Caenorhabditis elegans: one gene and its partners. The protein of the gene in region 4 interacts with the protein of the main gene of each other region in a pairwise test. Each region holds a gene or a part of one and is shown on either strand. Other genes may lie near its edges.

Region 1 (7,943 bases), 6.6 Mb from region 4:
CTGAAAATTCAAATTTCCAGTAAAAATTCGCATTTTGCTCAGAATTTTACAGAAAATTCAAATTTTTCGTCAAAAATCTACTTTCTGGTCAAATTTCAATAGAAAATTCAAATTTCCAGTCGAAAATCGACTTTTTCGTGAAAATTTGACAGAAATTTTAAATTTTCAGTAAAAAAATTGAATTTCCGTTCAAATTTTAACAGAAAATTCAAATTTTCAGTAAAAAATCGTCAGTGCAAATTTCCTGTCAAAAAATTGCATTTCTCGTAAAAATTGAAGTCCCGGGTTTTTTTTTTAATTTTCTGAATTTTTAGGTAGAAATCTCAATTTTCCGACTAAAAATTTATATTTTACACTGAAAAAATCGAATTTTTCAATTTTTCATATTCGAGCTGAATTTCTACCTCATTCTTGAGCACATCCTTGAAAGCCGCCAACAGCATACTAATAGCAGAGATAGCTCTCTCTCGAACCTCTTGATCAGTATCATTAGCCATAAATTTCTTCTCAACAACGACCAATAACTTCTTCGCCTCCTCATTTCCACCACAAGCCGACAGCTCACGGAGCACATCAATATATTTACAGCACACTGCGAGGCCTTCTGCTGAGACTTTATAAAATGGCTCAGAAATTGAATGAGTCATAATTGTGGTCAATGGGCTCAACAAATTCTTGAATCTCTTCGGATTATTGAGTGTCAAGGCATTCGAAATGAAGCTGAGCACAGTCATTTTTCCCTGAGCCGACGCATTTTTATCGGTTAAAATGTTGGATACAGCCGGAATAATATCATCGAGACTATCTTCAAGGCCTGATGGATAGGTCCGAATTAGGGCCGAAAGAAGTTCAATGCATTTTGGACCAGTTTTCGGGTGTTTTTTCATCGATTTTGTGATTGTACGAAGAAGCACATCTTTCTGATCAGCTAACGATTGAATTATAGCCAACTGGCTGCGTGATAGATAATTCGTCGAAAATTTGGTTCCACCAATCACCACAATATCATCAGTTTCAATGGAATCCTCGTCGGCGGCCACAACGGCCTTCTGCAAATCTGGGACCAAAATGGAGATCTGATTGAGTAGGGCAATGTAGACTGAGATGATTTCAGTTCGGACAGTCTCTTCGCGTTCTTTGAATCGTCCAATCACTACTGGACCGATTTTTTGCGAGAGATTGAGAAGGGATTCCCGGTGTGATGAGATCATTGCTTCGATGGCTTTTGCGGCGGCGCGGCGAACTTTCCATGTGACGTCTTCGTCGTCGCTGTATTCATCTTCGTCGTCTGCAAAAAATTTGAATATTTAAAGGTGGACTACGCTCAGCGAGGAAATTGCTTTAAAACACGCCTATGGTACCACAATGACCAAATACCATGATTAAAAAATTCAAAAAAATTTTCCAAATTTTATATGATTTTTTGAAAATTGGAAAAATCGCAGTTTTCCCCTAATTCCTTTTTGAATTTCCGCCAATTGGATTTGTTCGATGGAGCGCGCTTGCACGTTTTTAAATTTATTTATTTTATTTATTGTTATTTTCCACCAACTTTTAAAGTTTTCGGTGTATTTTTGCTTGAATTTAGAGAAAAAGTCAAAATAATTGCAAATTTTCGATTAAAAAGCACGCTACCAGGAAATTAGTTAATTCAGGTTTTAAATCGTTTAAAAGCGTTACTTTTTCATTTTTACGCCTGTACGTTTGCTTTTTAATCGAAAATTTGCATTTATTTTGACTTTTTCTCTAAAATTCGAGCAAAAATACACCGAAAACTTTAAAAGTTGGTGGAAAATAACAATAAATAAATAAATAAATTTAAAAACGTGCAAGCGCGCTCCCTCGAACAAATTCAATTGGCGGAAATTCAAATAGGAATTAGGCAAAAACTGATATTTTTTTCAATTTTCAAAAAATCATATAAAATCTAGAAAAATGTTTTTGAATTTTTTTATCATGATATTCGGTCATTGTGGTACCATAGGCGTGTTTTAAAGCAATATCCCCACTGAGCGTAGTCCACCTTTAAGGCTAAAAAAAGCTCCAAAATCAAGAATTTCAGCTAAAAAATCTTTAAAATCTTCAATTTTCGCACAGTTTCCTACCATCTTCATCATCTTCCATTTGCTCATCCTCATCATCATCTCCATACTCGTAATTCGGATCATAGGCCAGTGCATCAGTGAGCTGTTGGATAACTTCCTTCTCAAAAGCTACAACTTCCTGTGGATTCCGGTACAAAAATACTTCCAATCCTTGAATAGAAGCTTCCCGTAGATCATCGTGCTCCGATTCGGTTCCAGGATCAATTTGAAGATATTGAAGAAGGAACGGAACAACTTTCGGCGTATGCTTCGAGAATCTCGATCCACTGGCTCGTGCGACAGTGCTCAACGCGATCACAAGTGTACGAAGTTGCACATTTTGAGCAGCCGACGATGGAGGGGATCGTTGAGCCAGCTCTTTGAGCAAATCTTGAACGAGCTCATCGTAAAGCTCTCCGTTGATTACAGAGGCAAGATGTCCGATTCCAGTGATTGCCTTCTTTCTGATAGCGGAACGGAATGAATACAAGTGATCTACCATCACTTTCAACGATCCTTTGTGCATTTCGGGAACCTGGAACTAGAAATGTGTGAGATTTTGCTTCAAAAAGTGCCAAAATAGTCTTAAATTCGGGAAAAACGTGAAATTTCGGCTGAATTCCATCTGATTGGTTGAAAAGTGGGCGGGGCGAATCGCTGATTGGTCGCAATTCCCATTTTGGAGGAAATTAGCCAAAATTGAAAAATCGCGTTGGATTTTTCGTTTTTTTTTCGAAATTTGGCATTATTTCAGAGTTTTTAAAGCAAAAAATGGAAAATTTTTGAAAGTTTGGTTTAAAAAACCCAAAACTGACAATTTTTCAATTTTAGGGTTACTGTAGCTCCACAAATTCGCAAACACTGACAACACACCGGATTTGACGGCAAAATGCAGAATAATCAATATTTTCCGCAATATGTCGTGTTTGCGTGCTTTTAAGGGTACAGTAATCCCGGTAACGAGCAAAATGGCTGTTTTCTAGAGTACTGTAGCCTCAAAAGTGAGCAAACACCGCCAAGACACCGGACTTGACGACAAAATGTAGAAAAAAACGGAATTTCTGCAAAATGACGGTTTTTGGCTAGATTTGGGGTATTTTTTTTGAAATTTTGAAGATATTTGAGCTCAAAAAAGGCTCATTTGGGCTATTTTAAGGCTTGAAAAGCCCAAAAAATAGGATTTCCGGGTGTAAATCCACACTTACAACATCACCAAATCTCAGCAAAACTTCTCCAATCAAATCGAGAACATCGACACGAGCCGCATCATCTGGAGCACACAACGACAGAGAATCCACAAATTTTGGCAACATTCTCTTGACAACTGTAGTTGTTGCATTACTTGAAGCCGATGGAGCCAAATTTAGAATCATTGCTTTAAGTGTGAGAGAATGAATATCTCTTGATTGTTCAGCTTTCGAAAAAACGTGTGGAGTGAGCTCTTCGACGAGATATTCCAGCTGAAATTTGGGATTTTTTCAAATTTTTAATGATAATTTTTTTAAACAAAAATTTTTAATGTTAAATATTTAATTTCCCGTTGAAATGTTGAAAAATCTACTGAAATTTTGAACTTTCTGTGGAAATTCGACTGAAAATTCCAATTTTTTAAACTTTTTATTGTAGAAATATTGAATTTCACGCTGAAAATTTATTTTAAATTCGAATTTTCCGACAAAAATTGATTTAAAATTTGACCATCCATCCAAAAAATGACTTTTTTGTCAAACTTTGACTGGAAATTCGTGTTTTCCTCCAAAAATTGAATGAAAATGTGACTTTTCTGAAATTTTATATAAAAATCGACTGAAAATTCGAATTTCCAGCCAAAATTCCATTTTTTGTACGAAATTTTCAAACTTTCCAGTCATTTCTTAATTTTTTGAAGGAATTTTCGTATTTTTCTCATTGAAATCTCCAGTTTTGTCGTATTTTTTCCAATTTTTTCCGTTAAAAACACCGAAATTAAAATTTTGAATTTTCCGATTACTGACATGATGCGTTTTGATTTTCGATGGCTGAGCAAGGAGTCCAATACATTTGATCGCAAGATTTTGAACTTCTCCGTTTGAGTCACTGAGCAGTTTGATTAGAGCACGAATGACCTGAAAAAAATTAGAAAATTCAGATTTTAGCTAAATTTTGAATTTTTTTTTGGAATTTTTGTTTAAATTCCGGCGGTTTTTAGTTAATTTTAGCCATTTTTTGAATTTTCAACATTTTTTGGCAGAAATTTCCGGTTTTTGCCAAAATAAACAGTTTTTTTTTGTAATTTTAAATAATTTTTTTTTCGTTAAAAATTTAAATTACAGCAGAATTTAGCAGTTTTTCGGATTTTTAAATAATTTTTTTTGTAGAAAATTACGGTTTTTGCCGGTTTCGAATTTTTTTTGTAGAAATTTCAATTTTCAGCTAAAATTTTTTTTGAAATTTCAAACAGATTTTTCTGTTGAAAGTACAGATTTTAGCTATTTTTCACCTTTTTTTTCAAAATTACAATAAAATTTCACTGGAAAATTCAATTTTTAGGGTTATTTTTTAGCTTTTTAAAGCAATTTTTGCACCAAAAACCGCCAATTTTTGAGATTTTACTATACTTTAGCAGTCGAATCGTCCTCCAAAGCGATAGTTCCAGTCTGCAAATCTTTCATCAAATCATTGCAAGCCATGAACCGGAAATCCTTATCCGGATTCGACATTTTGTCGACCAGTTGCCCGACATGATAAGCACTCATCTGGAAACAAAATTTGGTCTGAAAATCACTTTTCGGGGTCTGAAAACGTGAAAAAGATAACCAAAAGAGGCAAGAAAATAGACAATTTTGGGCGCCAAAATAAGTGATCAAAAACTCTAAAAACGAAGTTCATCGGGTGTTGGTAGAGAACAAAATCTATGAAACTGGGTCAACAATTGAATAAATCCGGGAAAAAATGAAGGTGACTATGGGAGAAATTAATGAAAAAAAAACAGAAACAAGGATAACAAAAGGACAAAAACGACGAGAAAAATGCGAAAAAAAAGAAGAAAATTATCTTTGGAATATCAGAAAATAAGAATAAAAACAACAAAAACTGGAGGGATTTTTGTCTGAAAATGGTCTGAAATTGACGAAAAAGGGTCGATTTTTTCGAAAATTTGACTCAAAATTTGCAAAAATCTGAATTTTTCGTTTTTCTGGCGGATTTTGGCAATTTTTTGAGTCAAAAAATAATTTTTTGGACTGAAATTGGTATTTTTAGGCCAGTTTTTGGGAAAAAAAGCTTGAAATATCGCAATTTCAGATCAAAAAATAGTTTTTTGGTGGAAAAAGCCATTTTTTACATATTTCGCTCAAATTTTGGATTTTTAAAAACATTTTTGCCTCAAAAAAAAAAACCACTTTTCGGGGTAAAAGTGTTCCTTTTTAGGCATATTTTTGGGAAATCGGCTGAAAAAATGAGTTTTCTGGCGCAAAAATGTAAATTTTAAGATAAGCAGCTCAAAAAACGGCAAAAATTGAAAAAAAAATCGAAAAATACCAAGTTTTGAGCGTTTTCCCGTTTTTCGCACAAAAAATAGCTTTTCGGAGAGCAAAAATCCAAAAATTCAGCAATGTCAGCTTGAAAAATGGATTTTTGGCTCAAAAACTGCAAAAAATCCAAAAATTCAGCGATTTCAGCTCGAAAAATGGATTTTTGGCTCAAAAAAAGGCAAAAAATCGGTCAATTTCTGCAAATTTTAAGACGATTTTCTGACAAAATCATCTACTCAACTACAAAAAAAGTGAAAAAAAACGACGAAAAATTGAGGAAACAATTAATGGAAAGAAGCCAATCTCTGAGTTCCTGGCACAGCATTTCCCTCGAGTTTCAGTTTCCCCAACATTGCTCCAACAACATCTTCACGCTTCTCCTCCGAGTCATTCTCTTTTGTATGATGAAGATGCTCCTCTTCATTTACAACTTGAAGAGCCGGACTTCTTGACCCAGAGAAATATGAATTAAGTTGACGAGTTGCGGCAAGCAGAAGACCGAAGAATGGTGGAGATGGAGTGAGTGGATGGGAAAGGTATTCGGGATGGAATTGGGCTCCGACAAAGTATGGGTGGTCTGGAATTGGAGATAAGCTTCAAGGGGTGCCGGTTTTTTTTAATTTCGACTTTTTGAAAAATCTTCTCAAAAATGAATAAAATAATGTTTATCAGCATAAACAAAATTTGATTTTTTTTTAAAGTTTGTTCATCGATTTTCACCAGAAAAATTTAGATTTTTAGGAAAATAACTTCCAAAAATGGAATTTTTGTTAGGTTTTTCGGACCAAAAAACTTCTTTTTTTTTCTTCAAAAATGTTATATTTTAGTTGGTATGACGATAAAAAACCAACAGTTTCTTTTTTTTAGCCGAATTTTTTTTTGACAGTCTTGTTAAAATTTTTCTGAAATTTCAAAAAAAAAATTGTAGATTTGTCCGGAAAATGGCTTAAAATTTGGGCTATTTTTCCCACATTTTTGAAGAAAAATATCGATTTCCTTATAGTTTTTACTCGTCAACTTGAATAAAAATTATCAAAAAAATGAAATTTTTTTTTTTTTTTTTTTGATTTTTCGAAAACAAAGTCGATTTCTCGGAAAATAGCTGAAAATTTGGGGTGTTTTCCCACATTTTATAAGAAAATAATATGCCTTTTTATGTTTTTCTCCACAAAAAAAATTTGATTAAAAAATCGAAATTTCTCGATTTTCTCCAATTACACCCTTGGTAAGAATTTTTAAAAAAGTAGAAAAATACGACTAAGAGAAAACGGCCTAAATTAAGAGTGACAGGGCCAAACCAGCAGATTTTGAGAAAAAAATTAACTGTTAGCAAAGAAAATTGCGTAACCACTTGCAGAGAGAGAGTCATCAATTTCAAAATCAAATGGTTCGCAATGGAGCGCGTTCGCTCTCTCTGAAAATTGCCAGGACGCAATTTCCAGAGGTAATTATCGATTTGGAGCAACTAAAGCGAGAAGAATATCGATTGATCTCATGAAATAGCTTGTGTAAACTCGAAATATGCTAAAATAAACACATTTTGAATTGAGATATTTTAAAAATGTTTCAAAACTTTTTTATTACGGTTCAAACTTTCGAACTAATTAAAATTGATTTTTAATTGAATCTTGTCTTATTTCTGTCATTAATAGCACGTTTTTTCGTTGATTTAGGTATATTTAAGGTCTATAGGTAGGCAAAATGCACCTGGAATAACGAAAAATGTGAACTAATAAGCAATTAAAAATCAATTTTTCGGCCGCTTAATTAGCTACAAGCTGGGCATTTTTTCATAATTTTTAACCGCCATAAAACATTTTTGAAACATTTTTAATGGCAAAATCTAAGATTTTAGCCTTTTTTTTCTTAAAATTTGAAGGTTTCTGTATGAGAATCTGTCTGCCAGGGCTTAAAAATTGAATTTTCGTCCTTATATTTACCCTTCATCTCGAACATTTCCATACGAACAGCTGGCCGAGTAACCCCATCGCCTCCTCTCTGACACAAATCATCAATTTTGTGCAACAAATCAATTTCAGTCTGATCAGCCATCTGCATAAGCTCCGCCGAGCTGTCGGTTCGCTTCTTAACATCCCAAATATCAGTATTCTGTTCATCTACACCCATTCCGACGAACAAGAATCCCTTCCGAGCCATTTGTGGAACAACGTGGGGATTCACTTCGTAACGGTGACGGTGACGTTCTTCCACTGTGTGAGTTCCGTAGAGACGGTCTGGAATGAGAAATTTTTTTTTTAATTCTGATTTTAGGCGGGTTTTTTTTCAGCTTTTTCTGATGAAAATGGCAATTTCTGTGCGTTTTAGCCTAGAAAATCGCAAAATTTAA
Region 2 (6,983 bases), on a different chromosome or scaffold from region 4:
AAACTTTTTGTTACTTTTTTCGATTCTTATGTGTTCTATCATGGCGTGTCGAATGGAAAAAGGTGTGGATAGTGTTTGAACGGATCGATTAATTTTATTAAATAGAATAAATAAATGACCTGGTAAAACATGTAATGAAACACAACAAGAAACAAACGGAGATTGGGAGTTTAATATTGATAAAATAAACATGGTTCCGGGGACTTAAAGTCCATATTTATGATGAACCCGGACTGGGATCGTAGAGATTTTGAAGAGATTGGTTGAGAAAAATAACAGGAAATTTGAAATTGGACAAGATTAAAGTATATGACTCATTTAAAGACGAAGAGACTGGAATTGGTTGAAGCATTCAATAATGCTAGGATCGGTTCCTTCAGAGAAAACTTCATCAGCGATGTTACTCGAGTGCTTCAACAGTGTTTCCGCGTGCTGAAAAATATTTCATATAAAAATATATCAAAAACGGAGACCATTCTTTAATGTTTCACATTTTTAAGATTGTTCTAGCCGACTCGAAACGAGTATAAAACTTACAGCTAGCAAAACGTGACAGAATCTTCCACGGAGCCACATGAATTTAGGTGTTTGAGTTCCTGGTGTATCCCCAGAACCATCCATCTCGGATGTGTTGGACGTGGCCGCGTTTTTTATTTCTTCAATGAATGCCTAAAATTGAAATATTTACTAGAGATAATACATCTTGAAGCAACTTACTATTAAGAAATCATTGAAAAGACCCTTTTGGAAAGTGACCATTCTTTCTAATTTCTCTTTATTGTTCTCCAAATCTTCGAGATCTTGTTTGAATTTTTCTTCTTTGGTTTCATCTTCATCCATCTATAAAAAAGGGATCTTATTATATAATTCTCTCTAAATAAATACCTTAATATCAGACTCTTCATCATCCTCCTCTTTGATCTTATTCTCTGTTTTCTCAGTCAGCTCTTTTATGTCTTTTTCGACAACATTAATCTGTCGTGTGAGCTTTTCCAATGCTTGATTGAGCACTTCGAACAACCATTGTCTGAATATTTTCGGTTAGAGAAAGTTTTGGAGTATGTGAAAGTGTACCTGTCATGTTCTTGCCACATTTTCTCGTCGAATAGCCAACCAACAACGGCTGAACAATCGATTACTTGCATTTTAAGAAGCTTATCAGTAAGGATCATCAACATCTGTTGATTCGTTTTCCAGCACGAATAAAGTGTTTCCAGTAGCTTCTCTTGATAAAGTTCTGATGCGTCACAGACAGTTTTCAGAGTGGTTTGGTATCTGAAATGAATAAAAACTTTGTTGATTTTTAGGATTACATTCGAAACAGGGACGGTAATCGAAAATTATCGAGATCAAAAAATTTGAAAAAAACTTGAAAATTCGCAACAACGAATTACTACTGTAGTACTGTATTTTCTCTAATAATATTGCACCCCCACTACTTTGAAAGGTTATAACTCTCTTCGTTTCGAAAATATCAACAAATAATTAAATAAAGACGATACAAAATTAATTTTTAAAAAAGTGTGCAGTTAACAATTTTTGAGTATACACAATATTATAACTATCAATTCGTATTATCTAAATAACTAACCTGAATAGAGCTGAGAAGTTGTGTGAATAAGTCTTCGATGCCATTTTGAGCATAACCATTACGAAAAGACCGAATTCATTAATGTTATATGGCAATTCGTCATTTTCATCATTTGATTTAAGCTCATTGAGGAATGCTTCAGCTGGCTGACGTTCTTGGAACATTTGAGTGAATGTTTCCGCTCGTTGAACTAGTGCAGTGTCTTCTGAAATTACAAGTTTTGATTTTTCCAAAAAGTAGTTATTTACCTTCATCAATGAGATATCGAACTTCTGGAGAGCATGGATGAATCTTGACAAAATCTTGGGGCAATGCAGCGATAATTTTCTCATAAGATCCAAAACGACGACACTTTTCTATGACTTCTCGTACAAAGATTTGACTGCCGGAAAATGCATCTTTCTGCAAATATTACCGTGCAATGTTATGAACAATAGAAAATAAAAACATACATTCAAACAATCCTTCCAATCTGTCCAGGTGTATCGATATTGGAAATTAGAAAGATGGAAACTGAACCAATCAACCATTCTGTAAAATAAAATTGAAATATGAAATTTGAAATATAATTTACCTGTCAATACAAACTGGTTGCATTGAATCTGCGCGCCGATAGATACACTCAACAGTTTGAACAAGAATCTGTGGATAGTCGTCTGGTTTAAGCTTTAGCAGTTCGAGAACGAGAGAGCCTGAAAGAAAATATAATTTAGTTATTTGGATTCTACATTAAACCCCCGCTAAATCGAGGTTTAATGGACTTTTAATGAAGAATGTTGACTTACAATGAAATATTGCTGGATATGGGGCATGTGGTAGACGGAGCATTTGACCGAAAATAGTTTCGAAAATAAGGAATCCAATAGGAACAGATGGATTCTCTTCTGCGAAAGCGAGAAGTTCACGAGCACATGCTTTTCTATTAAATTGATTTTTTTCAATGATCCAAGCGATTTCACCTTCGAAGAGGAAACGATCTATTGAACTATCACCGGGAAGGGGTTTACTCTGAAAATTATAATAGACCCTTTGAAATAATTTTCAGTAAATAAAAAAGATATTTCCTTGCTTAAAAAGACAAATGAACGAACAGTTTAGACAGTTTCAATTTGCACTTACAGAAAAGGCGGAACAATCCGCGTCTTGAAACAGACGGAAAACGACCAGTGGATATGGATAAATCATATCCGAGGTATGTTCTGGAGATTGAAAACTTGGCAAATTATGTTGGAGGGCATCTTGAAGGGTGGTTTCAAAACCAGAATAATGTCGAGGAATGTGATTTTCAACCCAATCCGCATTACGAAGAGCTTCAATCTGAGCTGATAAACTTTCGAGATAATCTTCTTGTTTTTGATCTGTCGAGCCTTCCCGCCAAACTTGGAGAAGCTAAAAATATATTATTTTTAGTTATTAACAAGTTTAATATTAATCTTACCGCAACGTGATTTTTATTTCTCAACTCGAGATACTTTCCAATCGCTTCTCCAATATTCTCCATTTGCTCGGGAGCTTTTTCAGTCAATTCTTTACCAATCCATGGAAGACAACGAAGAACTGTTTGGATATAATAATCATTACGAACTTGAGGCATGTTTTCCTCAAAAGCAGCTGCAATGAAGCTCTCCAAATATTCTCCAATTGATTGAGCTGTGAGCACTCCAGAATTTCCAAGATCACAAAGGAAAATAGCAAGATTTTGAGCCTCTTGATATTTTTGTTTTGAAAGAAGATCTTGCTGCTCAGAAATTAATTTTTCTACGACGTCTCCTCCGAAATTGAAATTCTTTGAATTCAACAGACCAACTAGAGTTGTGTATACAGTAACACGATTTGGGAGATAGATGGCACATCCAGCAATAATATCAATAATTGAAGCCCGATATTTTTCGAGATCATCATGTAAAAAAGCTGTGAGTTTATCCAAATTGCATTCGATCGATGAGCCAGTATTCTATAACAACATATTTTGGTTGGAAATTGATGTTTTATGTCTTACCTCTCCAACTTTTCCGATGACTCCCTGCAGTTTTTTTTCTACATCTTCGATTAGTGGAGCCCCGCGACGTCTTTTCATTTGAACTTCATCCTCATCTGAAAATCATTTAATTTTTTTAAACAAGATTTAAACAATGCAGGAAGTAGCTTACCATCGAATTGCCTTCTCCGCGACATTTTCGTTGTTTTTCGAACAAAATCTGATTAAATCTCACTGGTTTTGCTTGAGAAATCGCAAAAAAATCCGATGGAAAATTCGAAATTGAATATATTCTAAACAAGGCGCGCGTGTGGAACAGCGCAGTGTCGTAGGTTACTGTCTGACATCTCTGCGCCTCTTCTTCTCAACGCCACTTCTGTTTATGCAGCAAAAAACAAAACCGGTCTTAAATTGCCAATAATTTCAATAAATCAATAAATTATTGCAAAAAAAATGAACAATTCAAGCAATGCAGATTCACAAGAAGGAAGTACGAGTGCTCAGTAAGTCAATTATTTCCATTTCAATTAAATTCTCGAAATATAAATTACTTTCAGAAAGCAAAAAACCGCGAATCCGTCTGAAAGTCGTCCTTTTGTGCTCAAAAAATGGAATGCGTTAGCTGTTTGGGCCTGGGATGTTGAATGTGACACATGTGCAATCTGCAGAGTACATTTAATGGGTAAATTTTATTTAATTCAGTGGTTAAAAAGTTGAATCGCTTCAAAAATATAACAAAACTTATTTTTTTGATATTTTGTGAGATAAAAATGTCGCAGATAATTTTATGATGGTTTTTGGTTTAAAAAAATTTTCAGTTTTTTCTCTAAAAAAACACAATTCTACAGAAATCTTCCATAATATTTCTCTACCCCTAAATATCATTACAAACTTACGAAAAAAAATATTTTGGAGCATTTCTAGAGGTCTTGAAAAAAGTGGAAAAATGCACTGAAAAAGTTCAGATCGACTTTTTACTAGTTCGAAGTGCTCATATGCAGCTAAATTTTTTTAGTGATATGTTCAAAAAGTATTCTTTTGAAAGATATATTTGTATTTAAAAGTTCAGGAACAAGCAAAAGTGCTTGCTTTGAAAGTAAAAAACACGCAAATTTTCGTGAACAGAATAGGTAATATACAACTATGTCGAAATTGAAATATATTGTCCTTTTTTTTTAGCTTGCAAATATATATTTAAAATCAACATTTTTTAAAAATATGCATAGGGAGCAGGAGATCCACACTACCAGAATGAGATTTAATCCAATAATTATGAACAACTTTTTTCAGAAGAGTGTCTTCGTTGTCAATCTGAACCAAGTGCTGAATGCTACGTAGTGTGGGGAGACTGTAATCATTCATTCCATCATTGTTGCATGACTCAGTGGATTCGACAGAACAACAGATGCCCACTGTGTCAAAAGGATTGGGTCGTCAGCCGCACGAGCAAATAATGTATCAATTATCTACTTTTACACGTTCTTTCCCAATTTACATGTAATTTTTCGACTCTTTTTCAAAAGAACTTTTGTCTGTAAATTGTCTCTTCACCCACTTCTTCCCTCTCCATTTTTCACCCCGTTCTCCACTTTGTTCCCATTCACAAAAATAATGACTGTAAATAAAAATTCACACACACACAGACGACATATACACGAATATGAACACAAAGAAGCAGAGCAATAGAAAAAATGATTCTGAAAATTTCAAAGAAAAACAAAAGACGCCAGCCGTGACATGGTCGATTGTCTGGCGGACTATACGAACAGATACTTCTAGATTTTACTGAAACTGAGATAGATATATTTAAGAATGAGTTCAGGTGAGAACATTTACAGTTTGAATATTTTATAGAAAATTATCCGAGTTTCCAGAGTTTTTCCACCGTCAAGGAGTCTTCAAACGTGTCCGTTCAGTGATAATTCGACCAAGTCAAAGTCCATCCACTTCAGTGACACGTGGAAATCTGACAAGAAGTTTCAGTGCTCGTGGAGATGCAGAAAAACGAAATAGAGCAATACTTCGAAGACAAGATGCAATTGATGATGATGATCAAGAGTGAGTCTGAAGAGTTCAGCAATGATATTATTTGATTTAATTGTCCCTTGGGTCTCACCGCGCTCCCTTCATAAAACAGTTATTTTGTGTGCGAGTCTGTAAGATTACTGTAGACATATGAGTAATTGTCTTCTACAACACAAGTGACTATAGTATTAAATGTTTTGCAAAAAAAAGTTGAAAAAATCGATCAAAATTTCCTACAGTAACTTCAAAGGGCGCGTGCAGAAATCTTTGTTCATACATGCAGCGCGCGTGGCGAGACCTTTTTAAACGAATGCGGCTCCTTGAAATCAATCGGCGAAGCAACCATATACAGTGTACAAAAGAGGGTTGAAAAAGTGATGTTTCTCATTTCTGTACCCAAAATCTTGAAATTTTAGTGCGTTTTGCCAACATTGGGCCTAACTTCTTCAAAAAAACGTTACTTTTTTATCTACTCCATGAGAAATTGAGAAGCAACATTTGGACTGAAAAGTTCGTGATTCCTAAAATTGATATTTTGTGAAAATAAACATTTTTAAATGCTTTTGTTCTTTGAAATTTCCAATACGTTACTTCTCTATTGTTTTATTGTTCTCATTGACCTGTTTAATAAACTACAAAGAATATAATAATGTTAGATATAAACGAAAACAATAAAATCTTCCTCATTCCCATTTCAATTGAACCATTTGTTTGAGTTCTGACTCATTTCCACCTTTTTTCCTCGATCACCATTCACAGAAAATTTAACCTCTTGGGAACTTGAATAGATTATCATCTGCCAAAAAAAGCCTCAATATATGGGAGCGGCATATCTCAAAGATTTTGTTAATTGGAATATTCTTGAATTTATCTACAATTGGCATTTTTGAAAGTATATTGGACTTGAAATTTTTTTTTGGAAGTTTTGTCTGAAGTGTCTCTATTTCGGATAGAATTTTGTGACGTTTTAAAAAAATAAAAAGTAATATCGAGTTTTTACAAAAAATCTTTATCAATTAGTCTATTCTAAAACCCTGAGCCAATATGAGCAGAAACTGGAGCATTTTTCACTAATTTCATACGAGTTTAAGTAGGTTCAATTACAAATATAACATCCATTAAGTAAAGTTTATACCTCACGAGAAGCCGAAAAGAGAACGTTAAATTTTTCCAAATGGTAAAATATTTAATTGGATCCCTTTTATGAAATCTTCACCCCGTCAACCACTACGCTACTTTTTTCAACAATTAAACTACATAATTTCGTATCATTCGTCATTTTTCCAAGTATCACACGATTCCGTTTATTAACTATGCACTAACCATAAAATTTCCCAATTTCCTCTTTTTTCGCCCTTTAACCATCATCGCAACACGAGACTCGTGAAG
Region 3 (6,314 bases), 490 kb from region 4:
GAAACTTCTTATTTTAACTACCAAATTCTTGGGCAGATATAATTTTAAAACTATTCTGCAGAATGAAACACGAACATTTTAACACATATCTGCCACAAACTGAAACTTGTAATCTAAAAACCTAATAAATTGTTTTGAAACGAATTTATCCGGTTGTTTCGTTAGTGATTAAAAAAAACAATGCGCTCTGAAAATTTGAAAGTCATAAAAGCAGGCTTCAAGCCTCACTCATGTTTAAAGACAAAAGAGGAGAGCCTGTGTCGATTTATAAGTAACAATTTCCTTTAAAATTGAGAGACTCACAAGAGGCGTGAAAGTAATAGCAACAACAAAAGTTTATGATTTAACTATTTAGACAAAAACTTTAGAATTCGAGCACCGAGTTTTAACAAGCTGATCAGCGTTGGGTATTTTAATCATCCAGTATCATAAATGTGAAAATATTTATATCTTCCATTTCACCTCAATTGATATTTGATATGCGATTTTGCAGATATAATAGATTTTTAAATAATAAGGATATTTTACCAACCTGTAAGGAGTGAGCAATGTTCACTAAAAATTGAAATCCAAGGACTAGAATCATCTTTGAATCATTGCCAGATCGAATTTGGCTTCCTGGAAATGAAAGAAAATAAAAAAGAAACTGAGATTTTGCAACAAAAACGAATGGATAAGTGGCTTCAATTGAAATTCAGCGGATTCCATCAAAAAGTTGTTCAATAAAAATCGGGTCTACCTGCAGCTCCACCTATTCTTTTTTCTCTCAAACTCTTGTTTTCTACTGCTGCCTTGTGTCTTACATTCCCACACTACAATACAGATTCGGACGGTTCGGATATAAAAAATGGGATTTCCAAATCGGGGAGTGGATCGAGGAACACGTTCAACAAACATACACTGTATTGGGTAGGGGAGTCGGTTTGCTTGTTCCGACATGAGAATCTCGAGTTACAACTCGCAAAACCAATTAAATCTTCTCGCAGACAGTAACTGATCCCCGTGGTGTAAATTTTGACCTATTGGTGTTTGATCTGATCACTTCGATGATAACAGAAAATATATAAATATGTAGCTAAGTTGGAGAGTACGGTAGGTTACGGTGTGATCGCGGTGAGATATCAGGTGATTATAAACTATATAGTTTAAGTAAGCCCAAAGCCCAATAGCGGCCTGAATATACCTCGTTTTTAAAGAAACGTTTTAAGTTACTTCAGAATGAAAAAAAAACAGTCTAGAAGTATTGGGAATTAAATTTTCGAGTGGCAGTTATATTAAAAAAAATAAACCGATGTGTATAATTTTCATTGAGTTTTGCCCTACTTTGTGAACTTCAACACTTCTAAATATGTATGAACAATTTTGTGCAATTTGGCATTCGGAGGAACTACTGTATCTGAAATCGTGGCAGGACCCAGCCAAGAGAAGTAGTGTGCGCCTTTAAAGTGATACTTCACTTTTCATGAAGTTAAGAATATCCGCAATTTAGCAACGTCGATTATTGAACAATAAACGTTTGTAGACAGTTTTAAAAGCAGAAAATTATCTTGGTCTATATTAATGAGAGAACTCTACAAAAATCAGTATCCAAAATTTAAAAAAAACTTTGGCACAGAAACGAACAAGCAATCGTAATAATCAATTATTACGGAAAGGAATACGAAGAAGCGGCGAGAAATGTGCTGCAATTCGGTTTTGAACGTTTTAGCCGAATTGCAAATAAATTACGCGAGACGAGACCTCCTCCTTTTGCTCCGGCGGCTTGAACGGTGCCCGCAACCTGAACCTAAACAGCCTAAGCACATAAACGGCACGAGAATTGTCTCGTTGAGAATTATGAGACCAGAGGACACAGTTCATATTTATATTTTTAGCGGAGAAAAATTAAATATTCAAGCGAGGAAGGATGATTTTAGAAGGTCAGAAGGGATTGGAGATTTGAATAAACAAATGAAAAGTGTCAGATCACATAGAGACTAACACGTCTGGATTTTAATGTGCTTTTTTTTGGGACGAATACATATTCACAAAAGGAAATAGAAGAAAAATCAGTGAATACAAGTAAAAAAGTGTGAAGAAACTGCCCGGGCGGTTGGCAGAAGAATGAAGATCGATTAGTGTCCGTACTTTTGGAATTCCCACTCACGATTGTCCAATGGGCATACCTGAAAAGATAGAATTAGAAAATGTGTAAGCTTTTTGAAATGCTAGTTACGAGTACTTAGTAATTGAAAAAAATTAAATTTTCAAAAGTTGTTTAACAAAAATGCATGCGGCAGGCTTCTGTTCCGCTTTGACATTTGAATAAATATCATTTTTTCAAAAATAAGCACGTTTAAAAGCAACCTACCTGTCGTGTCTTCAGCCAACGAGAAATGCAATGGAAGTGGAAAGCGTGATTACAGTTTCCCCATGCAACGGTACACTCATCCTTGAGCCCGGCTGCTTGATTCGCTTGGCACTCGATGCACAGATCCATGATGTGATTGCGGCAAATAGCGCAGTTGTCGACCTGAATGTCCCAGGCCCAAAGTGCGACGGCACTCCATTTCTTGACCTTAAATTGCACTATGTTTGTTAAAGCATGTAACATTGTATCTGTGTTACCTCGAAACGCTTCTTAACTGTCTGATTTGTGGCCTCCTCGACCTCCATAGCTGTGCTGTCGCTTGCTTGGGCCATTTCTGGAAAAAATACAAATGAGAATAACAGTAATCATTTCAAAATAAGAGCGCAAAAGTAGCATTGATGATATAATGAAATACTTAATATTGAACATGTTTATGCATACTATAATACTATAAGCCTAAACTAAATAGAGGATATGATTGATAAAATTGTTGTATCAGATTTTATGAAAAATTGTACCCTAGAACAAGTGATTCACGAACCTAATACAACATTGTTGTACAAAGCCGCCGATAGAAAATGAGGAAACATGAAGGACTTGACATTATTGCTAATATGTATTGAAAAAGGAGATACGCTGTTGTAAAATAAATAAAATGAAATCAGACTGAGCAACACTGCCGAAATTCTTTCGAAAGAATCATCAAAAACGCTTGTCTGCACACACCAGACGCTACGCGCATTTGCGTACACCGTACTCACCTATTTTCTGTCTTCACGCTTTCGCTTTCTTTTTAAAATTTACTCGTCGCGTCTTATTTCTTGCCGAAACGAACAAAGAAGAACAGGTTAAAAAGAAAAATTGTATTTAACAAAAATAAACCGTATCAGTTAGTATTTTAACAGTAATTCTAACAATTGGGACGATGAGAAAACAACTTTTAAATCGTTTCAAGATATTTATTCTGGCAAATCCGTGTATCCAATTCTCTTTTTCTTTCGCTCCGGAAAACATTTTTCAGTAATTTCTTTCAGCTTGTTTCCTAGATTTTTTCGATAGTCAATAACCATGTCGCAGTCGATGGTTCCGTCGGGTCTCTCGTGATGGCTTTTTATGTGCTTGATCACATCAGATTTTGCAATTGTCTGCCATTTTCTGTGACAGATTCCGCACTCGTAGAGCTCATATTTTCCGTGACGCGTATTTGCATGATACACCATGCTTGATCTTTGTTTGGAAACAACGTCTCCACAAAGAGAACATTGAATTTGTTGCTTCGGCTTGATCGGACCACCGCCATCAGATGCTCCCTCGAATGAAGGACCGGCTCCACGTTCTTCTTCGTGACGTGCCAGAGTTTCGTCTGAATTAAATCCAAATGAGTGGGAATCATTATTATGTGTAAGTTTACCTAGAAAGGCATGATAAGCATTATCTACGAAGACAACAGGAGAAGATGACTGAATAGGTGTGCCAGTTGCTTCTGAGTTTTCGACTTTGACTCTGTTCTCCACTGTGCTTGACACCGCATCGCTGATTTTCCCTTCAATCCGCATAGATCGACTCATTGCAATGCACCGTTCGAGCTTTTGGGTCAGTTCCTTCTTTTTCATACTCAACTCCGGTGTGTAGCGATATTTTATCTGCAATTTAAATTATTGTTGAATTTTTTTTCTGCGTCTCTCAACATTGGAGACTTACAGAAAATTCGGTGAGTCCATGATCATTCATACAGTGACTGACAAGGGCGAATTCCGTTGGAAACTTAGCGTACTTACATTTTTCGCATCTAAAATAGTAAAGCTACGTTCACCACATATTAAAAGTTAAAGACTTACTCATATGGGCATATGTTAAGATGATCACTAGCAATGTGTGCTTCGAGATCTTCCAGTGTGTTGTAGGCCTCAGTTTGAACGCAATCTAGACATCCCAGTAGTCGGTTCATTTTTTGAATGTAATAAATATATTCTGCAAATTTAGTAATATAGATTTAGAAGCGAACGGTTAACAAAATGTGTTCGAAATCAACTGAAGACGCGTGGAAAAAGGAAAAGAATGGTGAGAAGAAGAAGGAAGGAAAATGGAGAGAAGGGGGTGGTTTTGTGTGTGTGAGGAGGAGAAGAAGGCCGGGCGGGCAATGGCCAGTCTCTTCCTCCTTTCTCCTTCCTTTCTTCTCCTCTTTCTTCTTTTTTCTTCTTCTCATCGCTCGGTTCGCGCTACATTGAAACGGAGAGAGAAAGGGAAAGAGAGAGGACAAAAATGCGACGACTCGTCTTCTTCCTATCTCTTTCTCTCTGCTGTGTGTGTGTGTGTGTTTTTGTGGCGATAGGAAAAAAAGAAAAAGGAGCGGGATGGGCGGAAGAAAAGTGGGAAAAACTGTTGGAAAAATGAAAACGTGAGAGAACAGATATGAGTCAGATTTTTGTGAAAAATAATTAATTTTGAGATAAAAAGTTGATGGTACAAATACCATGACCATGCATGGCAGTCTCTTTTTTGTTGAAATTTTTGTTTAGAAAACTTATTTAAAACCAATTCTTAAGGAATATGCATTTTTTTTAAACACGAAATTCGCTTTAAACAGAGTACTTCCATTGGAAAATGTAAGGGAAATAAACGATAAAGCAGCCGAAGCTACCATAAACTTTTTTGCGCATCGAGACCAGTCCAAATCAATCCATGCGCCTTTAAGAAAGTATGCCAAAATCTTGTAAAATTAAGATACCATTTTTTCCTAGCAAGAATTTCTCGCTTTCTGATAATTAATTTGGTAAAAAATTCTAAAGCTTATCTGAAACCTTTCGTCTTATAATTTTACAGACTCGGTTTATATTTTATTTTGATAATTAAAAAATAATCAAGATTTTTCAGAGAAAAATGAACACACTGCGACGAATATCGACATGTCGATTCACAAGTAATACAGCGTCTTCAACTTCTTTGGAGTCTGCACCGGCTCCACTAAATCCAAAAGTTCAGAAAGCTCTGACTCCTGCCACGTTTTCAAATCCCAATCAGCTGGCTCGATACCTATCGAAAAAGGTTTTGGCTCACGCTCCAGGTCGATTTGTAGTGTTGGAAAAGCCATATGGATTGTCATGTGTTGGACAACTTCAAGAAAATGGTGGAGTATTTGGGAATAGTGTTCGAGATGAGAGAAAAACTGAAAAATGGGCTGGTACAATCAAAGCAAGGACTCAAGAACAAATGGGAGTAACAATTTCCGATTGTATCAAAGATTTGAGAAAGTTGCTCCGTGAGCCTCAGCTCAGTTTCTGTACAGGCTTAAAACGATACTTATCTGGTGCAATTGTTCTTCCATGTAATGAAAAGGATTCCAATATTCTGAAAGAATGTATCAGAAGCACTTCTTCAAATGTCGAACCCCCTTTTATGTATAATGCCTTGTAAGTTTTATCAATTTCTAAAGTTTAATTTTAGTATTTATTATTTTAAAGTTCAGAGCAATCACAATTGGAAGACCTGAAAAGAGCAGTGGAGTCATAACTGGATTTGCCACGTTTCGGAATGTCGGAAAGCACAAAGAGTACATTTTCGAAGAAAGAAAAACAACGAAACGGGCAAAAACTGGAAAATACGCTGTAGAAGGACATATGAGCTATCGAGTACTGGACACAAAAAATGGAATTTCATTGATCGACTTTTCAGTAAATAAATGTAAATTAACCAAAAATCTTCCGAAAAAAATCATCTTGGTATATTTAATTTCAAATTAAAAAGTACGACGACGCTGGGTTTTTAGATAACAAATGTTTGAATACATATTATTTTTGTATTGAATATTATATTTCTTCAGTTGCTCGTCATCTCCCACGACTGATGCTAACTCAGATGTCTTGTCCGATCCTCGGAGACACTATCTACTGGAGACGTTTGGCCGACGTGGATGGAGTTCCTGAACTTATCAGCGCGGGAAACATGGGGCATAGAATTGTAAGTC
Region 4 (9,300 bases):
CTCTGATTCGACTCAATCCTTCTCGTCATATTCATTGTTCTCTCGGTCAAGAACCGTTAGCTCATCGTCCTCTCAATACGCTGAAAGTTGCGATTCGTCTGCAACAATCACTCCGTTTTCATACTATCCCGCACAACAATCAACCGGTTTGTTTAATAACTAAATTTAAAGAAAACACTCAACTTTTCAAGGTTTTCTCAATCTTCCTCCACCTTATCACACTCTTCCGGATACTGCTTTCTTCCGTCGCACGAAAATCATCCCTCCTCCGCCAATGAGACAAGAAATTGCTCCAGTTACTCAACAAATCATGAATTGCTATATTAATAGTATCAGAAAAGGAGATTCTGAAATTGGAAGACAACGACAATTATCTCTTTGTTCAAAAATGGAGCTGGAGTATAATTGGACTGGTTCTTTATGATCGTTTTAAAACTCTTTCATGTTTCTTTTTCTTCAAACTTTGAATACACGCTCATTTAATAATTTTCACTTCTATAGAGCTTTGTTGTGAACAGTTACAGGGAAAGACGCTACGGAGGCGCCCTTGATTGCGCCCAGTTTAGTAATTATTTATAACCACGTTTATGTCGTTATTTCTCGGAGATCCGGGTGCGAGAGGATTGAAACAACCCTGTGAGGATCTACAAAATACAATATTTATTCTTATAAAAGATATTTCAGATATCAAGTCGTATAAAAATTATATTCACAGTACTAAAATTTATTTATTCATTCCGTCCAGATACACTAATTGCTTTTTGGAACTTTTTCAAAAAATGCACGATGTCGTTGTTGAAATTGGTAACATGTCCTTGGAGCACTGAAAAATTAAAATTGTTTTTCATGAAGTGAAAGTCATTAACTTTTCCCGATATCATTAAAGCCGTTGAAGTTGATTGCACTTTCATTGACATTTACTTGTCTGCGAAAACGATCTTGATTTTCGGAAACTGGGAACTCATCGTTGTACAAAATCTGAAAATCTTACTCGATGTCTTTATTGTGACCTCAAACTTGATCCTACATCAAGAACTTTTTTTGTCAATTCATTGGGAGGCCGTCCTCGTTTCACAGGAGACTTCATCTTGCTTCTTCCGTCTGAACTTGGAGATGCACACATATACAAATTATGGCATAATTTTACAGCAGGAGTCCAACCAAAATACATTGCAGACACCTCAATTGCTCCATTACACACCATATTATTGTCCAATACCATATTACAAGTATTCTTTTCAATCTGAAAAGTCAGTTTTCTATGTCGAAAAAGTTTCTATGTTGAAATTTTTCACTTCTTTGACAGCTTGTGAGTTGCTCGTGCGTTTTGCCAAGTTCACAATACGTACACATAACCAGCACAATTGATGTAATGGATTCTGCAATAAAATATTTTCCAATATTTAGGATGTTATGGGACTTTAAAACAAAGATTTAAATAGTATTAGTAAGACAAATAGTACATTTATTTATGAGTGAAATGACTTTAGAACCCCGTTATTTTCAAAATTATAACTTTGGTTTTCAGATGATATCTTCGTCATTTCTTTTGCGCACGGGGTCTCGCCACTCGAACAATAAGTTACTGTAAGTTATGTTATAATAAGTTACGGGTCGCTTTTGCATAAACTTTTTAAAATTAAAAATCTTGACAGTATTGTTTTCATTTAATTTTAAAAAGATTATGCACTAACGACCCATTAATCGATACAAGTTACAGTAACTCGTTATTCTCGTGGCGAGACCCATGCGTATAAGATATGGCGGAACCTCTCATATTTGAATGTCTACGTAATATTGTAAAACTTACAAAATCCAATGCTTCGGAGGCAACAAGGATGCATAATAAAATATAAAATAATTTCATTTTCAGTATTTGATGTTCAAACATTCCTTCTCATTATATACTGATTTTGACATAATATTTTCAACAAATTTACTTTCCTGTTATCCGAGTTGATCTCTAGCAGGAATCGAATGTAAAATCCATCTGTTCAAATATCTATCATTTCTTGCGAATCGAGTAAAAAATAAATTCATTCACCGCCACCATGTTTGAAAAGAGAACGCGTAAGACATGAACATTTGATAACAATACAATTATTTTGAGAATAAGCCGAGAAATTAAGACCCATACCAAATCGAAGATGCAAAATGACAAATTATAATACAGAAAAATGGTGAAAAACTATGGTGGTTAGAGGCCAATGCGAATTGACTAGATCGGAAAGTGAGACTGATACTATAACATATAGTTAAAAAGGAAAATACAGGAAAAAAATCAGGAGATATAAACGAAAGTGTTGATGTCATCCGCACGGCGTTCCATATATCTGAAATTTTTGTTGAATTTATGCACTTTATTCACTTTTTCTTACTTGTTTTCAATAAGCCAATCAATTTGTTCTTTGATGATTTTCCTATTGGGAATAAACAATGGTTTCAAAATTTCGACCAACTCCATTGTGAGCTGAGCCAATGTGTAAGTTTTTCTAGTTTTCAAAATCTTCACAATTCCTTCTTGAACGCGGAGCTCCCGCAATGCTACGATGCTCTCGTGTTCCTTCTCAGCGTTGGCTTCCAATGACAACTGAAGTCTTCCTATCAAATTAACTTTTCCACGTTGCTGTGACTTTCCATTTTTCACAACATTGAAGTCATGATTAATAAGGAATTTTGTAGAATCAGTGAAATCTCTGGCTGTGACGGTTGTCGAAGGAACGTCGCAAAGAAGAATTTGGTATCTCATCTTTGGATATGCAACCAGTGACTGAAATAAGAAATGCATTATCTGAGAATTAGTTCCGAATTATCTCAAACTGTGAACTCACAAAAGTCCTTGAATAAATAAGAATGAAATATTGAAAGTTACCAGAAGTGTGCGATTCAGTTCAGCATCCGGTAATTCAGTAGCAAGCCGTAGAGTTTCCAATGATATTTTATCATGAGCTCTATCATTGAAACAAAATAGAACTGCCATCTGGAACGTTGTGCATTCAAGATCGAATCTGCCGCCATTTGCAGTTCCGAAGACCATCTGAAAAGACATGTTAAGTTAATCTGAAGCTGTTTTGAGATATAAACAGTTCCACTGCTCCAGTGATGCATCCAGCATAGCTTTCTACCATTATGTTGCTTTTTGTAAAACGCTTCCATCTGAAATTAAGATAATTTTATAGGTATGGTGAAAGGGAATTCTACCTCGGGGACAAAGTCCTCTAATTCACGAGGCAGAGAGAATCGAATTCTTTCAGACCCACCGCGACCCCAAGCACCTCCATTTAAGACTTTCATATTGATAGAATCTGTAAAATATTTTGAAGTTAATCGAATATTAATTCTTTCAAGTACCTGCAATTGATTTGTTGTTATTTGTTCCAGTTAGCGCCTTTTTGAAAGAAGAGTTCATGTCCTGAAAGTACAAGGTTTTTAAAATAAGAATATATAATTTTACCTTATTCAGCTCGATATCTTGTAACATTCTGGATAATTTATTAACTGCATCGGATGGCATTCCGCATTCTCGAAGTTTTGTCACCATCATCTCTTCTTTTTCCTGATCAGCACTCATTTCCAAAATTAAACGACGTGAAAGATGGGCTCGGTGAAAACGCATGAAAACATCTTTGTTTTCAACATATTTGAGTACGAGAAGCTGAGATTATATCTATATTTAAGAATAACTAAAATTGAATTATTACCACTTGATTGAGTTTTTCATCAATCTCTTCTGATGTCAGTTTTTTGCTCAATTGTGTTTTTCTTAGCAAAAGATCACAATAATTGGCTAGTAGTTCAGCGCATTTTGATTCCACCGATAAGGTACGACCTTTCTTATTCATCATTTCAGTTTTGAATATTGACGAATCATTCACAACAGCCCGAAATGCTTTGTCGCGAGCGGTCAAAAGGCGGGCATCGTCACAGAATCCTTCTCGAACCAGGGAAGAAAACTTATCGAACATAAGAAGGAGCTGTTGGACATATCTTTCAGGATCCTGCAATTAACTAGTTAATGAATTTAATAAAATGCATATTGTAAATCACCGTAGAAAGGTTCTCAGCATTGTTTCTCATGTCATTCAACCCTTCAGTTCGTATATGAGTGTCAATACACTTGAGAACTGTATCAATTCCGCTTCGAGTTCTACGAATCAAGCGATACAGACGTTGGAGACCTGGAAAAGAATACATTTTTACAATTCGAGCAAATACAAAACTTACGCTCGACATCTTTACTGGCAATTAGTTTTGAGCATTCTGCTAAAATCGTATCTTCAAACGACTCAACAAGTGCAATTACTGCTTTTTCCATGTGTTTCCCAGACGTTGGTGAATTCATTTCCAAATATCTTTTGGCTCGTTGCTGCTCTTCTTCCAATTTCTTATCTGCATAAACCATATATTCGAGAACACCGAGTTCGTTGAGAAGCTGAAACACATTACGTATTTGAAACACCAAAAAACAGGTTAACTCACATTTCCGCATATTTTTTTGTAATATTCCGTGGTCTGTTCGATAAACTGTCTCTCAAATGATTGTCGGTAGACTAAAAGTGGATCTTCCCCTGCTCGATCGTTCAGTGCCACTGAAAATGATTCTTCGTGTAATAGGTACAAATAATTGTATCTTACCAAAGCTTTCTCGGATACCGATAACATTTTGTGCGTCGATTATATTTCCATCACGTTCTTCTTTCACTAAACGAAGAGCTTCAACCAGTAGTTGCTCAGAAATATTCATGAAAATAATTTCGTTCCATTTTTCGAGCATCACGGTACGAATAGATTCTTCCGGAGTTTCAGGAACACTTCGGCGTCTCGAACTTTCATCGATTTTCTGTAGCAAGACCAGATTTGAATAGACAGAAGACAATTAAAAACCACCTTGAATGGAAGTGGAAGAATGTTAGCTTGCTGATAAAACCGATTCCATTCTTTGATGTAACCAATTAGAAGACTTCCATCTGTTTGCAAGCTTCTTATCCTCTGTAGAATTTAAAAAATAAACCATTAATTTACAATAATATTGAAACTGCAGTTTTTTTTACTCCAATGGTGCCAAAATGACCAAATATATAATAAAACTTGAGAAAAATTTTATTTAGTGTCCAACAGTGAAATTTAATCAGTTTTTGCTACTCATAATGTTGGAAGTAGACCAAAAAAATGTTTTCCTACATTTTTTTAAACTATAATTTTGTTTTAACTATTTGTATTAAAACATTGTAGGGACCGGAACATGTGACATTGATTTGGATTTCCTCAAAAGCTCATATTTTTCAAAATTATGGCAAATTGCCAAAACTTATAAGTTACAAAATCTCCACTGGCGCTACTCCACCTTTAATTGAAAAAAAAACTTACTTTATTTGCTTCATGAACATAATCATTGATACATCGAGTGAGAATATCGCGAATTTTCAAAGGCCCGTCATCTACCCAAGATGTGATTTTATACACGTGATAAAAGAGATCTTGCCATGCAGCCGGAGTTACTGACTGTAAAAATGGAATGTTTTCTACGTTGAGACGAATGAAACTAACTTTCTGATGCAGAAGTGCATGTACAATTGGATCGGCTTTGCTCCATTCTTCGTCGAATTGCATATTCTGATGGTCTCTCTCTCCGAGACCTCACTGCAATTTTTTTTTTGAGAATTCGAACTTTAAAAACAAGGGCGATAACGATATATTATTGATCTAAATGTTCAAAGAGAGAATTCATTTTGAAACGAAATGCAGATTGGTTCCATTTAAAAATAGTTGTTCAAAATCACTTCTCCTCTTACAAGTCACGTTTTGTTCGATAAAGAAATTGATAACGAAAAACAATAACAGTCTTAAATACAGTGATAACATGTGTACCCATTTTCAATCATTCTTCAAATAATTTTTTGTATTAATTTATAAACAACTTATTTATTTCAACAAAATTGCTTTATATACCGTATATCCTCTATTAGTAAGGCGTGCAAAACTAATTTTCGGACACATAATTTGATGCAAAACTAATAGAGGGTGCAAAACTAATTTTCAAGCAGGTTTTTTTTCTCATGTTTCTCATTAAGTTATGGCAAATATCATCAATTTCAGTAACACCTTATGAACCAAAATGGACGAATTTTACGACTGATACGCAACCATTGTCCCAGTTGTACTCATATTTTGCCAATTTTGACTTGTTATACCAAGTCTGTAATAATTTTCCTGATTGGTAAAACGATTTAATAATGCAAATTTTGTATTCCTAAAAATAGGGAACAATGGAAGGGGTGCAAAACTATTAGAGGTGCAAAACTAATAGAGGCGCCTTACTAATAGAGAATATACGGTATTTGATTAATTTTTCCATTTAAGTTGCCAAATTATTGAATACTCGTTGAAATATCAACTTTATAAATTAACACAAAAAAGTATTTGAAGAATAATTGAAACATTCTCAAAAATTGACGCTTTGATTGAAAAACAATTATTCAAAATGCGCTGTGACGTCACAATAATTCAAACATATTTTTCCCGCCATTTTTGTGCTCAGTGAAGTGATGGGACAACCTGACACCAAAATTGGAAATATTAATTTTTAGAAAAAGTTGAATGTAATTAAAGTGAAATTAAGAGTTATTGAAAGAAGTGAAAGCTATGGAAACTAGATTTCACTGAAAGAAAAGTAAGAGAGGAAAAAATGAGGGAGAGAGAGTGAGGGAGATGACAAGAACCGGTTGTATGCAACCACACAAAATAGCGAGAATTTGCTTACTTGGGATGCAGATTCATGAAGAAATGATACAACATATGTTCAAAAGATCGAGGGAAAAGATGATTTGCATTACATTAATATTTGACCAATCAAAAATTAATTATGTTTTACAAACGATTTTAAAATATATAGCCAAAACTCAAATGTCCCCGAAACTTCCCCCCCAGAGATGGTAGTGCAAACGCGCTCTAACGAACTACTTGGCGTTGAAAATCCTTTTGGAGCTCACGAGTCGGCATAAACTGATCTCATCTCGACAAGACTATTTTTATTGATTTTCCATTGTTTTTCGGTAAACATATTTTTATTTATTATGAAAACCCAGAATAAAACAATTGTGAAACACATAAACTTTGGCAAACCGAACACAAGGAAAAATCGATGGAAATTACCCAACAAAAAAAGTTCGAAATTACAGTACTCTTTAAAGGCTCACACCCTTTTGTATTTGATAAAAAGTGTCGTGCCGAGACCTGGTACCGTATTTTTGAGGTAAAAATCCGCGTAAGTTTTATTGAGTGAATTTATTCGGGTCTGCAGCTAGGTTTCGTTGAGAAATAGTCATACATTTATGAACGTAGAATGAAAAACTGAGAAGGGCATTGACATATTAGAAGGGGAAATTAATGAAACAATCTCCCAAACAGGAGACAACTCTAATAGTTATTCACGATATCAATCATTTCAGAAATTTGTGTTTGTTCCGGCATCGTTTTTCTGAAAATTCACAATTACTTCAGAAAAATTTGCACGTTCTATAAAAATGAGACTTTGATGCAATCGGAAGTATTTTCGCTGCTATTTTTATGTTTTCTAAGAATTTTCAAATAAACTTTCACATCATCACGAGATACATAAATGAATACGGAAAATGATTTTTTAATATATAAATAGTTATAAATCGTTTTGAATTCATATCATCTTCAAGAGTGATGACGTTTTCCACTTGCAATATGTCATTTCACTACGATGACGTCACCTTGAGAATGCTCGACAACGTCCTTCAATGGGAAATATTTCAGTTCGAATTTCCTTCCGCAAGCTGAATGTGGTCGTCGTGCTCATTTTGCTCTTTTTTTGCTTTGAAAATAACCTAACACATTGTCCATTGTTTGTCGGCGTAACATGTTTTGTCTAGACATTGGCTGTTCAGCTTTAAAACATAAATTTTCTTTACCAGTTTTAATTTTAAAATTCAAACACATATTGTTTCAAATACTCCAGGCAGCTGTTCTTTAATCAGAATATGCTCGTGTGAAACTTTAGGTATTCTTGAAACATATGTAGGTCCAAGAATAAGAAAAGTTTCAATATTTTCTCTCAAATGGAATATTTACTTTGTGTCAAGAAGCAGCTTAGAATTCAGGCAAAATTTGATTTTCAAGAGTTACCGCACAAAGAACCAAGAACTTTGGACCACACGTAAACAAGCTTCGAACCGATTTCAATAGAGGATAACATATGTTTCATAAATACTTTAGAGTTCTATCAATAATTGTATGAAGTTTGTAGTGCAAATCATGAAAAGTCTTGTCTGATAAAAAATAAATATTACTTATATGTAGTATTTTTTTAAAAACTATATTTCTTTTAATTCGTTTTAATTCAGTTGAGCTCCTAGAATTCCCTTTAATCATTACAAGATCATGTGTTCCCAGTATTATAAAACAGCTGAAAATTTCAATGTTTTTTCAAGCAGAAACGCACATTTTTCATGAAGTTTTTAATACGCATATTACGAATGTACTAGTCCACGGGGATTTTTTTGTGGATTTTCGTTTAGTCTGGCAACAAACTAAAATGAAAAAAAAAGAAAATAAAGAAGCTCTTTCCTTTCTCTCATAACTTTTTTCTGTTTGTTTTCACATTGTGATCCGTTCTCTGAAATAGACTAATAGCTCCATTAACACACTCACACAACCTGTCTCTTCACGTCATTTCGTTTCAGCTCATTTTGGTCGCTTTGTGGGTTTGAATATATTGTATCAAAAAGGTGTACTTATTGTCTGACAGAAGCTTTGAGCGCATCATAAACATGTAGAATTCTTATGCTACTTGATTGTGAGAATAGGTACTTGATTATATACAATATCTATGAGTCACATAATAAAGTAACTTGGAGGAACTTCTAAGGTAAGCGGCACTTCTTCCCACGGAAATGCCGACCTACGTGCGTGCCTACGCCTATTTCCTGCATGTTTCCTGTTTGCCCAGAGTAGACATTTCTTCATTTCTTATTTCAAGACACTCATTTAGCTTAAATTTTTTCAATGGAAACTTTTCATTTTATCTATTAAGAAATATTTACCACCTAATAGTTTACACATCTTATAATTTGTTTACAAAAACTTTTTTCAAAACTTGAAAACTTGCACGTAAACGTAATTAGTTTTGAAATGTGCAAAACACAAAAGGAACAATGACGTCTCTTTTGCTATTTCTTCTTCTACAACTTAATGCAGCACTCAAAATGGAATTCAAGAGTTCTGAATTTGAGCTTTTAAAATGAGATTATCAATTACATATTAGGCTCTAAATTA

Evidence for each region.
Region 1: the proteins of cul-5 (region 4) and cand-1 interact in a two-hybrid assay, tested with the Caenorhabditis elegans proteins (one study listed by BioGRID).
Region 2: the proteins of cul-5 (region 4) and rbx-2 interact in a two-hybrid assay, tested with the Caenorhabditis elegans proteins (one study listed by BioGRID).
Region 3: the proteins of cul-5 (region 4) and rbx-1 interact in a two-hybrid assay, tested with the Caenorhabditis elegans proteins (one study listed by BioGRID).

What each region holds. Positions count from the first base shown.
Region 1 is NC_003283.11:16,799,750-16,807,692, reverse strand, and holds the start of cand-1 (Cullin-associated NEDD8-dissociated protein 1), read right to left. Parts: upstream 4,822-7,943; 5' UTR 4,820-4,821; coding exon 4,682-4,819; intron 4,190-4,681; coding exon 4,079-4,189; intron 3,545-4,078; coding exon 3,290-3,544; intron 2,620-3,289; coding exon 2,106-2,619; intron 1,289-2,105; coding exon 405-1,288; intron 1-404. Other genes in the region: ctps-1 (CTP synthase), read right to left, coding at 5,881-6,173, 7,537-7,830.
Region 2 is NC_003279.8:6,418,889-6,425,871, reverse strand, and holds rbx-2 (RING-box protein 2), read left to right. Parts: upstream 1-3,886; 5' UTR 3,887-4,022; coding exon 4,023-4,072; intron 4,073-4,126; coding exon 4,127-4,251; intron 4,252-4,859; coding exon 4,860-5,023; 3' UTR 5,024-5,212; downstream 5,213-6,983. Other genes in the region: lron-6 (eLRR (extracellular Leucine-Rich Repeat) ONly), read left to right, coding at 1-79; ncbp-1 (Nuclear cap-binding protein subunit 1), read right to left, coding at 319-432, 538-669, 718-840, 886-1,027, 1,075-1,275, 1,592-1,796, 1,840-1,993, 2,044-2,122 and 6 more.
Region 3 is NC_003283.11:9,687,839-9,694,152, forward strand, and holds rbx-1 (RING-box protein 1), read right to left. Parts: upstream 2,685-6,314; 5' UTR 2,683-2,684; coding exon 2,608-2,682; intron 2,558-2,607; coding exon 2,351-2,557; intron 2,166-2,350; coding exon 2,115-2,165; 3' UTR 1,848-2,114; downstream 1-1,847. Other genes in the region: ztf-9 (C2H2-type domain-containing protein), read right to left, coding at 3,310-3,713, 3,762-3,993, 4,052-4,139, 4,189-4,298; ZK287.7 (RNA_ligase domain-containing protein), read left to right, coding at 5,231-5,760, 5,817-6,031, 6,171-6,307. UniProt on the Caenorhabditis elegans protein: Component of the SCF (SKP1-CUL1-F-box protein) E3 ubiquitin ligase complex, which mediates the ubiquitination and subsequent proteasomal degradation of target proteins.
Region 4 is NC_003283.11:10,175,875-10,185,174, reverse strand, and holds cul-5 (Cullin-5), read right to left. Parts: upstream 5,641-9,300; 5' UTR 5,611-5,640; coding exon 5,548-5,610; intron 5,503-5,547; coding exon 5,368-5,502; intron 4,990-5,367; coding exon 4,888-4,989; intron 4,841-4,887; coding exon 4,636-4,840; intron 4,590-4,635; coding exon 4,480-4,589; intron 4,433-4,479; coding exon 4,225-4,432; intron 4,179-4,224; coding exon 4,048-4,178; intron 3,999-4,047; coding exon 3,702-3,998; intron 3,656-3,701; coding exon 3,455-3,655; intron 3,413-3,454; coding exon 3,352-3,412; intron 3,306-3,351; coding exon 3,202-3,305; intron 3,157-3,201; coding exon 3,085-3,156; intron 3,038-3,084; coding exon 2,873-3,037; intron 2,771-2,872; coding exon 2,379-2,770; intron 2,334-2,378; coding exon 2,282-2,333; 3' UTR 2,021-2,281; downstream 1-2,020. Other genes in the region: ZK856.18 (RRM domain-containing protein), read left to right, coding at 1-146, 192-424; ZK856.4 (Saposin B-type domain-containing protein), read right to left, coding at 729-823, 867-978, 1,028-1,243, 1,296-1,379, 1,811-1,891. UniProt on the Caenorhabditis elegans protein: Probable core component of cullin-based SCF-like E3 ubiquitin-protein ligase complexes which mediate the ubiquitination and subsequent proteasomal degradation of target proteins.